Linked DNA regions of Saccharomyces cerevisiae S288C. The protein of the gene in region 1 interacts with the protein of each later gene in a biochemical or structural test. Each region holds a gene or a part of one and is shown in the gene's direction. Other genes may lie near its edges.

Region 1 (3,372 bases):
AGGTCTGTAATAGCTACCGTTCTCAATGGATTAGTGAAAAATAATGATCATGATTTCAAGCACGAGTCTTTAAACACATTCATGTCGCCCTATGGAAGAAAATTGTGTCATGGTGCTTTATATGCCGATTTAAGGTCACATACTGCATCTCTACTTGCGCTTGGAGCAAGCATCGAAGATGTAACAGATTTATTTGCCGATTTACAGTCAGGTGATAGATTTGATGAGGATATTAGATATATGTTTGATTATGAATGTGAAGATTATGATGAATCTTTCTCTGAAAGCGATCATGGAGGATTGGATGAAAGCGTTGTTAACCCAACAGAAAAAATAGCATCTGGTAGTAATAATGTTTTCTTTCGGAGACGGTGCAATTGCATCTTCAATGATGATAAGTTGGTGGCAGAGGATGGTGCAAATGAAGCCTTTGGGTCAACAAATAGCGAAAACGTTGAAGGCGCAATGCATAATAATAGGAATGCGGTACATAACGCGACTACAGCCACTTCTGATCACGTCGTTACGTCACCTAACCCACTTTCCGTTAGATCAAGAAGTACTTTTGAATTTGACTATAGTGGGGAAGATTGGAGGGACGTTCCCAGAGATTTCAATATGTACTATTCGCCATCTTATTCATTCATCCATGAGCCTAAGTTAGATGTCATATTTAGTTTGACTCTACGTGGCGCAACAGAAAAGTTGAATAAGGAGGAATCCATATTGTTAGTGCGTTCAGTTGCATCGTGTGTAAGGAACGAGCAGGACCAAATGATTTTAGCAGACCTGGAGTCTAATTTTTCCGCAAGTATAAACGGCGATGTAGAAGGTGAAGGAAATACCAAAATGTCCAAGATAGATAATGAAGATCTCAGAAGAACCACGCCGGATGATATTTATGAAATATGGTCTGAAGAATCAGCATTTGAAAGGATGCTAAACGTGAATCACGACGTTGCGTGGAGATTAATGGATGAAATGTTAATGTGCACCGGTTATAGGAGAATATTGATATGGTTCCTTACGCATTTGGAGTTAAAACATTCGTTGATATATTACGTTTTTGAACTAATAATGGGGTTACGTGGAAAACCGTTTTCCGGAGAAGCCAGTGATCAAGATAAAAAGGATGATATGATATATGAGATCTTGAAGAAAAAGCAGAAGAATGAAGATGCTTCAGGACTTCCCTTTTCAAGGCAAGGACCTATCGTATTATCTGATATTGAGACTAAAATGTTACTGCAGGAGTTTTTTATGAATGCTGCTATTTTTTTGTCATCAAAAAATAACGAAGAAGAGAATGAAGACGGCGAGAAAATCTCCTTGTACTCCCTTGGTTTGGTTAGGTTGATCTGTTACATGGTGCAGACACTCATCGCGAACGACAAGTTTTTTTTTACCAAATCAGAATGCACTTTTGAGCTTCAAACTTTACTGATGACATGGATTGGCATCCTTCCTGAAGCCAAAGATTTATTCTTTAAGATCAAGACAAGGCTCGCCATGGAAGAAGAGGATAGTGCCGATACTATGCAGCATGAGGGCAGGAAGAACTCTGACATAGAGAAGAAGCTAAACGCTAAGCCAGCTTCTGAACTGAATCTGAAATTGTTAAACCTGTTTCCCTCAAAGCCTGCAAACAAAGACGATAGTTCCCCTATTAACACGTTGCGTAGTTTTATCGCTGATTACTCCTTCGACACCCAGGTGAACCCTCCAGGAAGAAGGGTGGTGTTCTACGATGGTAAGATTTTGCCATTGCCCAAAGCCGATAAGCCTATCCCACTTCATGAATATATAACACTCGCAGAGCTCGATGTTGGAGACAGTGAGTGAGCAGTGAATTGCTCATGTTTTCTCTGCATCCTCATTTAATGACAATTAGCCATGTAATAACATCTTGAGGCAGTTAAATATTCGTTACCCTGCAGGTGGCAAAAAATTTATAGAATAAAAGCATAAAAAGATGGATATCTATGTAATAAGGAAACATTGGCAGAGCGAAGAGAACAGACTGCTTTCTATAAAAAGTTTTCGATCAGTCTCTATTTTAATAATTGATTATTGGATATAGTTAGTAGTGTTAAACATGGGTTCCAGAAGATACGATTCCAGGACAACAATTTTCTCCCCTGAGGGACGTCTATATCAGGTTGAATACGCGCTAGAATCCATTTCACATGCAGGTACCGCAATTGGGATTATGGCATCTGATGGGATTGTTCTTGCAGCAGAACGCAAAGTCACAAGTACTTTACTAGAACAAGACACCTCTACCGAAAAACTTTATAAGTTAAACGATAAAATTGCGGTTGCCGTTGCTGGACTGACTGCAGATGCAGAAATTCTAATAAATACGGCTAGAATTCACGCTCAAAATTACCTTAAAACCTATAATGAAGATATACCAGTAGAAATTTTGGTGAGAAGGCTAAGTGATATAAAACAAGGTTACACGCAACATGGTGGTTTAAGACCATTTGGTGTGTCCTTTATCTACGCCGGTTATGACGATAGATACGGTTACCAATTGTATACATCTAATCCATCGGGAAACTATACAGGGTGGAAGGCTATTAGTGTTGGCGCTAACACATCAGCAGCACAAACCCTACTTCAAATGGACTACAAGGATGATATGAAAGTCGATGATGCCATTGAACTGGCTTTAAAAACGTTATCCAAAACTACCGACAGTAGCGCGCTGACTTATGACAGGTTGGAATTTGCTACTATCAGAAAGGGTGCTAATGACGGAGAAGTGTATCAGAAGATTTTCAAGCCTCAAGAGATAAAGGATATATTGGTAAAGACTGGTATTACCAAGAAGGATGAAGACGAAGAAGCTGATGAAGATATGAAATAAGGTTGGAAAGTATTGTTTGACTTCATGCTTATATAAATATGTACGCATAGAAACATATCTCTAAAATTAAAAGTGAAAGAAAAAAATCGCTAAGATTCCCCTTTCGGGGGAAGGCTGAAGAAACTTTTTTTTGCGCAAATTTCAAGATCGGAATCGCTCGAGAGGCAAATATAAAAAAGGGCCTGCTCGTTTGGCCTACTTGTTGTTGGATTCTAACTCCAATCTAATTTTGGCAGCACTTCAAAAATAAACAAAAGCGATGTCTGCGTCACTAGTGAATCGATCATTGAAAAATATAAGGAATGAATTAGAATTTTTGAAGGAATCAAACGTCATATCAGGCGACATTTTCGAATTAATCAATAGCAAGTTACCTGAGAAATGGGATGGAAACCAAAGATCGCCCCAAAATGCAGATACAGAAGAGTACGTTGAAGCTTTATATGATTTTGAAGCTCAACAAGATGGAGATTTGTCATTGAAAACAGGTGATAAAATAC
Region 2 (4,322 bases), on another chromosome or scaffold:
GCGACTCGTCTCATATTTTTCCTGAAACTGTAGCTGTGTGTAATATTATTCATTAACTTCGATAATTCGGCTACAGAAGACAAGAGCTACATCCTTACTGGTGCGAATAAATGACATAATCTGTCAAGAGTACCGAAGTAAAAGCAACGATTGCCGAACACATCTTCCTGAAGTATCATATGCCAATACAAGGTTTCAATAGGAATTATGAAAGCGGCATTATCACCCTTAATCTGAAATATGTAATGATGACGGTGCAGTATGTTGACTACATTGTAAAGTTGCACTTTCACTCAACTCATGAAATTGATGACATTAATCCTACGTGACTTACACATATGCCATGAACGAAGAAGGTGGCACCAAAAATCCAGCGTTTCCGATATACACGCAGTCAAATGTTCAGACTAAACTTTGGTATTCTGACAACGTGTTGTCATACCTGTTACGAGCCAGAAACGTATTTCTTTTTGGGTGATACAATCTCCAGATGACTGCTTTTTTTTTTTTTACCCCAGATTCAGGGGCCGAAGGAACGGAAATGCGGTGTGGCGAGATTGCGGATGTGCTAAAAAATAATATCCTCGAGGCAACCAGCATAATGTGGACGGCTCTCGGCAATTGACTTCCATAACAAATGCATCCTGTAATCAGGGGTATTATAAGTTACTGTATGGTTAATTAAATATAGAATGAAAGGGGCAGCGTTCTTAAGGGGTATTGCTGGGTGGAAAAATACAAGTGTCTTTACTTGATTGTGTGCACATATATAAGGCAAAAGATTTCTAGCGTATATTTGAATCTTTTGTTCTTCCACGTTCAAATTTCTTTGGTCAAAACATTTCATAAAGGGACAAGTTCTGCATTGTATTCTAATAATTGCCCATAGAACATATAAATTAGGTATCGACTGTTTTCGTCTCCACTTTAAATGACAAAGAAGGATAAGAAGGAAGTAAAAGTTCAAACGGTTACCACGGAGGATGGTGAAACCGTGAAAGTTTTTGAAGACCTGCAGGGTTTTGAAACTTTCATTGCCAATGAAACTGAAGATGATGATTTCGATCATTTGCACTGTAAATTAAATTACTACCCACCATTTGTGCTACACGAGTCGCACGAGGACCCTGAAAAAATTAGTGATGCTGCAAATTCTCATTCTAAGAAGTTCGTGCGTCACCTGCACCAGCATATTGAAAAGCATCTTTTGAAAGATATTAAGCAAGCCGTTAGGAAACCTGAGCTTAAATTTCACGAAAAATCGAAGGAAGAGACATTTGATAAAATCACCTGGCATTACGGTGAGGAAACTGAATACCATGGTAGACCTTTCAAGATAGACGTTCAAGTAGTTTGCACACATGAAGATGCTATGGTATTTGTCGATTACAAAACACATCCTGTAGGCGCAAATTAAAGGTTGTGTCATAGAGAATGTGTTAGTACTGAATCCTAACCTCCCAAATTCATAAGTAGTTTTATGTACCTTTAATGATTTACGATTAGCAACTTTTTGAATTTTTTTTATTGAAATGTTGAGCCCGAAGACGTGAAACGCTATAAAGTAGTATCACTGTTACGCCGCGAAACCTGATAATGTATTGTTAAACTACTACCTGGTCGATGATTATATCGACGCTTCTAAAATGAATGCTATTACCCGAACTTCCACTTGATTGCCGTCTCTTCCCGGGTAACATTGTAAGTGTGAATATGATTTTTTTTTTTGCTTTCTCTTTTCAAAATTTCCGAAAAGCATATCAAGACGTGTACTACATACAGTAAAAGCCCTCCTAGGGTTTTCAGTAGTGGTTCGAATAGTATAGATTACTGCTTTTGTTACTCTGCAACAATCCCAAAACTTAATAAAAAGTACAAAAGACCAAATAAAAGTATCGTATATAATCCAGTCATAATGATGAATCCACACGTTCAAGAAAATTTGCAAGCAATCCACAACGCCTTAAGCAATTTTGATACGTCATTTTTATCGGAGGATGAAGAAGATTATTGCCCTCTTTGTATTGAACCAATGGATATTACTGATAAAAATTTTTTTCCTTGTCCCTGTGGTTATCAAATTTGTCAATTTTGCTACAATAATATCAGACAAAATCCAGAATTAAATGGCCGTTGCCCAGCATGTCGTCGTAAATATGATGACGAGAACGTCAGATACGTCACATTATCTCCGGAGGAGTTAAAAATGGAGAGAGCCAAGCTCGCTAGGAAGGAGAAAGAAAGAAAGCATAGAGAAAAAGAACGTAAAGAGAATGAATATACGAATAGGAAACATTTATCTGGTACCAGAGTTATCCAAAAGAATTTAGTGTACGTTGTTGGCATCAATCCTCCTGTTCCATACGAGGAAGTTGCGCCCACTCTGAAATCTGAAAAATATTTTGGCCAATATGGTAAGATAAATAAGATTGTGGTTAATAGAAAAACACCCCATTCTAACAACACAACCAGCGAGCATTATCACCATCATTCACCAGGATATGGCGTTTACATAACCTTCGGATCCAAGGACGATGCTGCAAGATGTATAGCTCAGGTAGACGGGACGTATATGGATGGCCGCCTGATCAAAGCTGCCTACGGTACTACTAAATACTGTTCTTCTTATTTAAGAGGATTGCCATGCCCAAATCCCAACTGTATGTTTTTGCATGAACCTGGTGAAGAAGCTGATTCTTTTAATAAAAGAGAACTCCACAATAAACAACAAGCGCAACAGCAAAGTGGCGGAACTGCATTCACTAGATCTGGAATACACAACAATATATCTACCAGTACCGCTGGTTCAAATACCAATTTACTAAGTGAAAATTTCACAGGCACACCTTCACCGGCGGCGATGAGGGCTCAGTTACATCATGACAGCCATACAAACGCTGGAACACCGGTATTAACACCTGCTCCGGTCCCTGCAGGGTCAAATCCTTGGGGAGTTACTCAATCAGCAACACCTGTAACCTCTATCAATCTCTCTAAAAACAGCAGCTCCATAAACTTGCCAACATTAAATGATTCTCTGGGCCATCATACTACCCCCACAACAGAGAATACCATCACAAGTACGACAACTACTACCAATACCAATGCTACAAGTCACTCCCATGGTAGCAAGAAGAAGCAATCTCTTGCTGCAGAGGAATACAAAGATCCTTATGACGCACTAGGGAATGCTGTTGACTTTTTGGATGCAAGACTACATTCTCTATCAAATTATCAGAAGCGCCCTATATCTATCAAATCCAATATTATTGACGAAGAAACTTATAAAAAGTATCCGTCTTTGTTTTCTTGGGACAAGATTGAGGCCTCAAAGAAAAGTGACAATACATTAGCCAACAAACTTGTGGAGATCCTGGCTATAAAGCCAATAGACTACACTGCTTCTGTCGTTCAATTCTTGCAGAGTGTCAATGTTGGTGTAAATGACAATATTACAATCACAGATAATACGAAAACTCCCACCCAACCAATAAGACTGCAAACCGTCTCACAGCAAATCCAACCACCATTAAACGTCAGTACCCCTCCACCGGGTATCTTTGGTCCACAACATAAGGTTCCTATTCAGCAGCAACAAATGGGTGATACAAGCTCAAGAAATTCCTCTGATTTACTAAATCAACTAATCAACGGAAGGAAAATTATCGCCGGTAATTAATCCGACTCTAAATATTTTTCTTGTTTGCATTAACCATAATTTTATCTATTTTTATTTCTCATGAATATATAATCTCTCCGTTTATAACGAAATGCAAGAAAAAAAAATCTCACCCATTTTTTTAAACCTTTGACGTGGAAAGGTATCTGGGAAAGGTATCTGGCTAATGAATAATGCCATAGCATATACCAGTATAGTCTATTTACTCGTTACAACGTATGAAAGCGTCAGCGCTGCAAGAATGACTAATTCATAGAAAATAATCATCATGATATATATCATAATGCACGGAACCTGCTTCGCTAATTTTTTCACTTAAATCACATTTTTTCAACGAAATCTCTTGCGCAGTTGGTTGGAATTCTTATCCGAATGACTCAGTCTACATCAAAAAACTGTGGCCGAATGGTGGTAATTGATGACTCTTCTATTTTTTTTTTTCATATAAAGAGCTTGCGCGCGTGTTGTTGTTCGCTATCCATTTCCATTAGGAACATTTTTGGATATTATTTTTCAGACCCGTAATATACTTAACACATATACCACTAAAGGCAAAAGAAAGAGAGATCTGAAGTGAGAAATAAGTCTGCATCATTATGCCATCTGCTAGCTTACTCGTCTCGACAAAGAGACTTAACGCTTC
Region 3 (3,832 bases), on another chromosome or scaffold:
ATATCATAGGTACTGCATTGAGCGCGCTGCGGCTCATACTGCCGATGTTTTTACGACTGTGTCGCAAATCACTGCATTAGAAGCGGAGCATTTGTTGAAGAGGAAACCGGATGGCATTTTGCCCAATGGTTTGAACGTTGTTAAGTTTCAAGCAGTACATGAATTTCAAAATCTGCATGCCCTGAAAAAGGACAAAATTAATGATTTCGTCAGAGGCCATTTCCATGGTTGTTTTGATTTCGATCTAGACAACACAGTTTATTTCTTTATCGCTGGTAGATATGAATACAAAAACAAAGGTGCTGACATGTTCATTGAATCATTGGCTCGTCTCAATTACAGATTGAAGGTTTCTGGATCCAAGAAGACGGTGGTAGCGTTTTTGATCATGCCTGCCAAAACCAATTCCTTCACTGTGGAGGCACTGAAAAGCCAAGCCATTGTAAAATCTTTGGAAAATACTGTTAATGAGGTCACCGCATCCATTGGGAAGAGAATTTTCGAGCATACGATGAGATACCCTCATAATGGCCTAGAATCAGAGTTGCCCACTAATTTAGATGAGCTGTTGAAGAGTTCTGAAAAGGTTTTGCTGAAGAAAAGGGTATTGGCGCTGAGAAGACCTTACGGGGAATTGCCTCCGGTAGTCACACATAACATGTGCGATGATGCTAACGATCCAATTTTAAACCAAATTAGACATGTTAGATTATTCAATGATTCGAGTGATCGTGTAAAAGTGATTTTCCATCCTGAATTCTTAAACGCCAATAACCCTATCCTTGGTTTGGATTATGACGAGTTTGTTCGCGGCTGTCACTTGGGTGTTTTTCCATCCTATTACGAACCATGGGGGTACACGCCAGCAGAATGTACCGTCATGGGTGTCCCATCTATCACAACAAACGTTTCTGGGTTCGGTGCCTACATGGAAGACTTGATTGAAACAGACCAAGCGAAAGACTATGGTATTTATATTGTAGACCGTCGTTTCAAGAGCCCTGATGAATCTGTCGAGCAATTAGCAGACTACATGGAAGAGTTTGTAAACAAGACCAGAAGACAAAGAATCAACCAAAGAAACAGAACCGAAAGACTATCAGACTTGTTAGATTGGAAGAGAATGGGGTTGGAATACGTTAAGGCTAGACAGTTGGGTCTTCGTAGGGCCTATCCAGAGCAGTTCAAGCAACTGGTGGGTGAAACAATTAGTGACGCCAATATGAATACTCTTGCCGGTGGCAAGAAATTCAAGATTGCCAGGCCTTTGAGTGTACCCGGATCCCCCAAAGTAAGGTCCAATAGTACTGTTTACATGACTCCGGGCGATTTAGGTACCCTTCAAGATGCTAATAATGCAGATGACTATTTTAATTTGAGCACGAATGGAGCCATCGACAATGACGATGATGACAACGATACGTCTGCATACTACGAGGATAATTAAAACCATCTTAACTTCTGCTAACATATCTTACTCTTTTAGCTGAGCATCAAATTAATTTTAGTATTGCACGTTCTGTTATTCTTGTATAAGTACATAGAAATAATAGCAGTAGAAAAAATAGAAGTAATTTTACCTTTACAGTACATATGTGTTAGTATAAGGAACCTTTTACGTGGGATACTTTGCTTACGAAGAAAAGGCTGAAAAAAAAAAAAAAAGAAACTCCCCCCGCGTTTAGAATGGTGCAGCCGAGCTACCTACGCAGGGGATAAAAAGAACGAAAGCCACATCGACTACAAGCCAGAGTATAAATGGTTTCAATTCTCGTAGAGAACTCACAATTATATAATATTGGAAGACACCAGAAAAAATAACGAGTCAATTACTATGGACGACAAAGTTTCAGAAAAGGAGAGCTCCCCAAAACAAACAGAGGAGGATTCTGAAGGTAAAATGGCACATGTGCAGCCTGCTTCGTACGTGAATAAAAAAAAATATGTTTTTGGGAAGACATTAGGTGCTGGTACATTTGGTGTGGTGAGACAAGCCAAAAACACTGAAACAGGGGAGGACGTGGCCGTTAAAATCCTGATCAAGAAAGCACTAAAGGGAAACAAGGTTCAGCTAGAGGCTTTATACGACGAGTTAGACATTTTACAAAGACTGCATCATCCAAATATAGTGGCATTTAAGGATTGGTTTGAATCAAAAGACAAGTTCTACATTATCACGCAATTAGCCAAAGGGGGTGAATTGTTCGATAGGATTTTGAAGAAGGGTAAGTTCACTGAGGAAGATGCAGTGAGAATTTTGGTTGAAATATTGAGCGCAGTCAAATATATGCATTCTCAGAATATTGTTCATAGGGACTTGAAACCGGAAAATTTACTGTATATAGATAAAAGTGACGAATCTCCACTGGTAGTTGCTGATTTTGGTATCGCAAAGAGATTGAAAAGTGATGAGGAACTCCTCTATAAGCCGGCAGGCTCACTGGGTTACGTGGCTCCAGAGGTACTTACTCAGGACGGTCATGGTAAACCTTGCGACATTTGGTCGATAGGTGTCATTACGTATACTTTGCTTTGCGGTTATTCGGCGTTTAGAGCCGAAAGGGTTCAAGATTTCCTTGACGAATGCACAACTGGTGAGTATCCAGTGAAGTTTCATAGGCCTTATTGGGATTCCGTTTCCAATAAAGCAAAACAATTCATCTTGAAGGCTCTTAATTTGGATCCTTCAAAGAGACCGACCGCCGCAGAACTCTTGGAAGATCCATGGATTATTTGTACCGAATTGAAGACGCACAATTTATTGCCTGGGTTAAAGGAAGGATTGGATGCTCGTCAAAAGTTCCGTAATTCTGTTGAGAGAGTCAGATTAAACATGAAGATCCAGAAATTAAGAGATCTGTATCTTGAACAGACAGAGAGTGATTCAGATTTTGACGAAGGAAGTCAAGCAAACGGTTCAGTTCCTCCATTGAAAGCAACGGATACCAGTCAACTATCCAAGAAGCTATCAGAAGAAGAACAGTCTAAGTTGAAGTCCGAGTTAACCAGCAAAGCTTTTGCACAATTAGTTAACACAGTGCTTGCCGAAAAGGAAAAATTTTTAAATATTAACAGAGTCTGTAGTTCTGATAGCGATCTTCCTGGGAGTGATATAAAGTCTTTGGATGAGGCGAAGGAGAAACCAGAGGGGAAGGATACCAAAACAGAAGAATGATAACAGTATGCCGTTTTACCACACTGGCGAATAAATCTTCAATGACTTTGTAAGCTCGAATATGCGCAAGATTTGACTTTGATATTTTGCACTTTTTCGTCCTCACTTTCTACCTTTTTTTTTTATGCCTTAGTTGAAAAGATACGCGTATCTAATTATGTACTAATAGTCTTAATTTTACATTACTTAATTAATCGAAATGCAGCCTGTAAGGAGTTTCACAATCTTCACGTTCGTTGAAAGCTAGTTGTCTAAGTGCGCTGCCTTTTAACTCTACCATCATCAAAAGAAGAATCATTGTCGTTGTCATCATAAATATCAGCTTCGTCGTCTTCTTCATCATCGACATATTCCTCGCTATCATATTCCGTATTATAGTTTACAGTCTGTCGCTGTATCCTTCTCAACTGTCTCTTGCCTGGCTTCATGTCTGCAAATTGCACTTTCATTTGTTCAAACTGACGAAGAATGAAATAGTAATCAGATAAAAATTCCTTTAATATCTGTAACTTCTTTCTCGCAGTGTTATATTTTGCGTCTTTTGGTAGCGGGTTTGTATTTATGGAGGGATTATTATCAGTGGTAGATTTCTGCTCCAATATGTGCGCTTCATTATTCAGTGCTTCTTTTTCTTTTTCATTTCCCTCCTTTTTCTCA

Evidence for each region.
Region 2: the proteins of PRE9 (region 1) and MOT2 form a complex in vitro, tested with the Saccharomyces cerevisiae proteins (one study listed by BioGRID).
Region 3: the proteins of PRE9 (region 1) and CMK1 form a complex in vitro, tested with the Saccharomyces cerevisiae proteins (2 studies listed by BioGRID, with this or other methods).

Annotation. Positions count from the first base shown.
Region 1 is NC_001139.9:759,297-762,668, forward strand, and holds PRE9 (proteasome core particle subunit alpha 3), read left to right. Parts: upstream 1-2,095; coding exon 2,096-2,872; downstream 2,873-3,372. Other genes in the region: CCR4-NOT core subunit CAF130, read left to right, coding at 1-1,842; LSB1 (Lsb1p), read left to right, coding at 3,132-3,372. UniProt on the Saccharomyces cerevisiae protein: The proteasome degrades poly-ubiquitinated proteins in the cytoplasm and in the nucleus. It is essential for the regulated turnover of proteins and for the removal of misfolded proteins.
Region 2 is NC_001137.3:291,135-295,456, forward strand, and holds MOT2 (CCR4-NOT core ubiquitin-protein ligase subunit MOT2), read left to right. Parts: upstream 1-1,915; coding exon 1,916-3,679; downstream 3,680-4,322. Other genes in the region: RGI1 (Rgi1p), read left to right, coding at 932-1,417; ARG56 (bifunctional acetylglutamate kinase/N-acetyl-gamma-glutamyl-phosphate reductase), read left to right, coding at 4,276-4,322. UniProt on the Saccharomyces cerevisiae protein: E3 ubiquitin-protein ligase component of the CCR4-NOT core complex, which in the nucleus seems to be a general transcription factor, and in the cytoplasm the major mRNA deadenylase involved in mRNA turnover.
Region 3 is NC_001138.5:171,880-175,711, reverse strand, and holds CMK1 (calmodulin-dependent protein kinase CMK1), read left to right. Parts: upstream 1-1,834; coding exon 1,835-3,175; downstream 3,176-3,832. Other genes in the region: glycogen (starch) synthase GSY1, read left to right, coding at 1-1,447; IOC3 (Ioc3p), read right to left, coding at 3,427-3,832.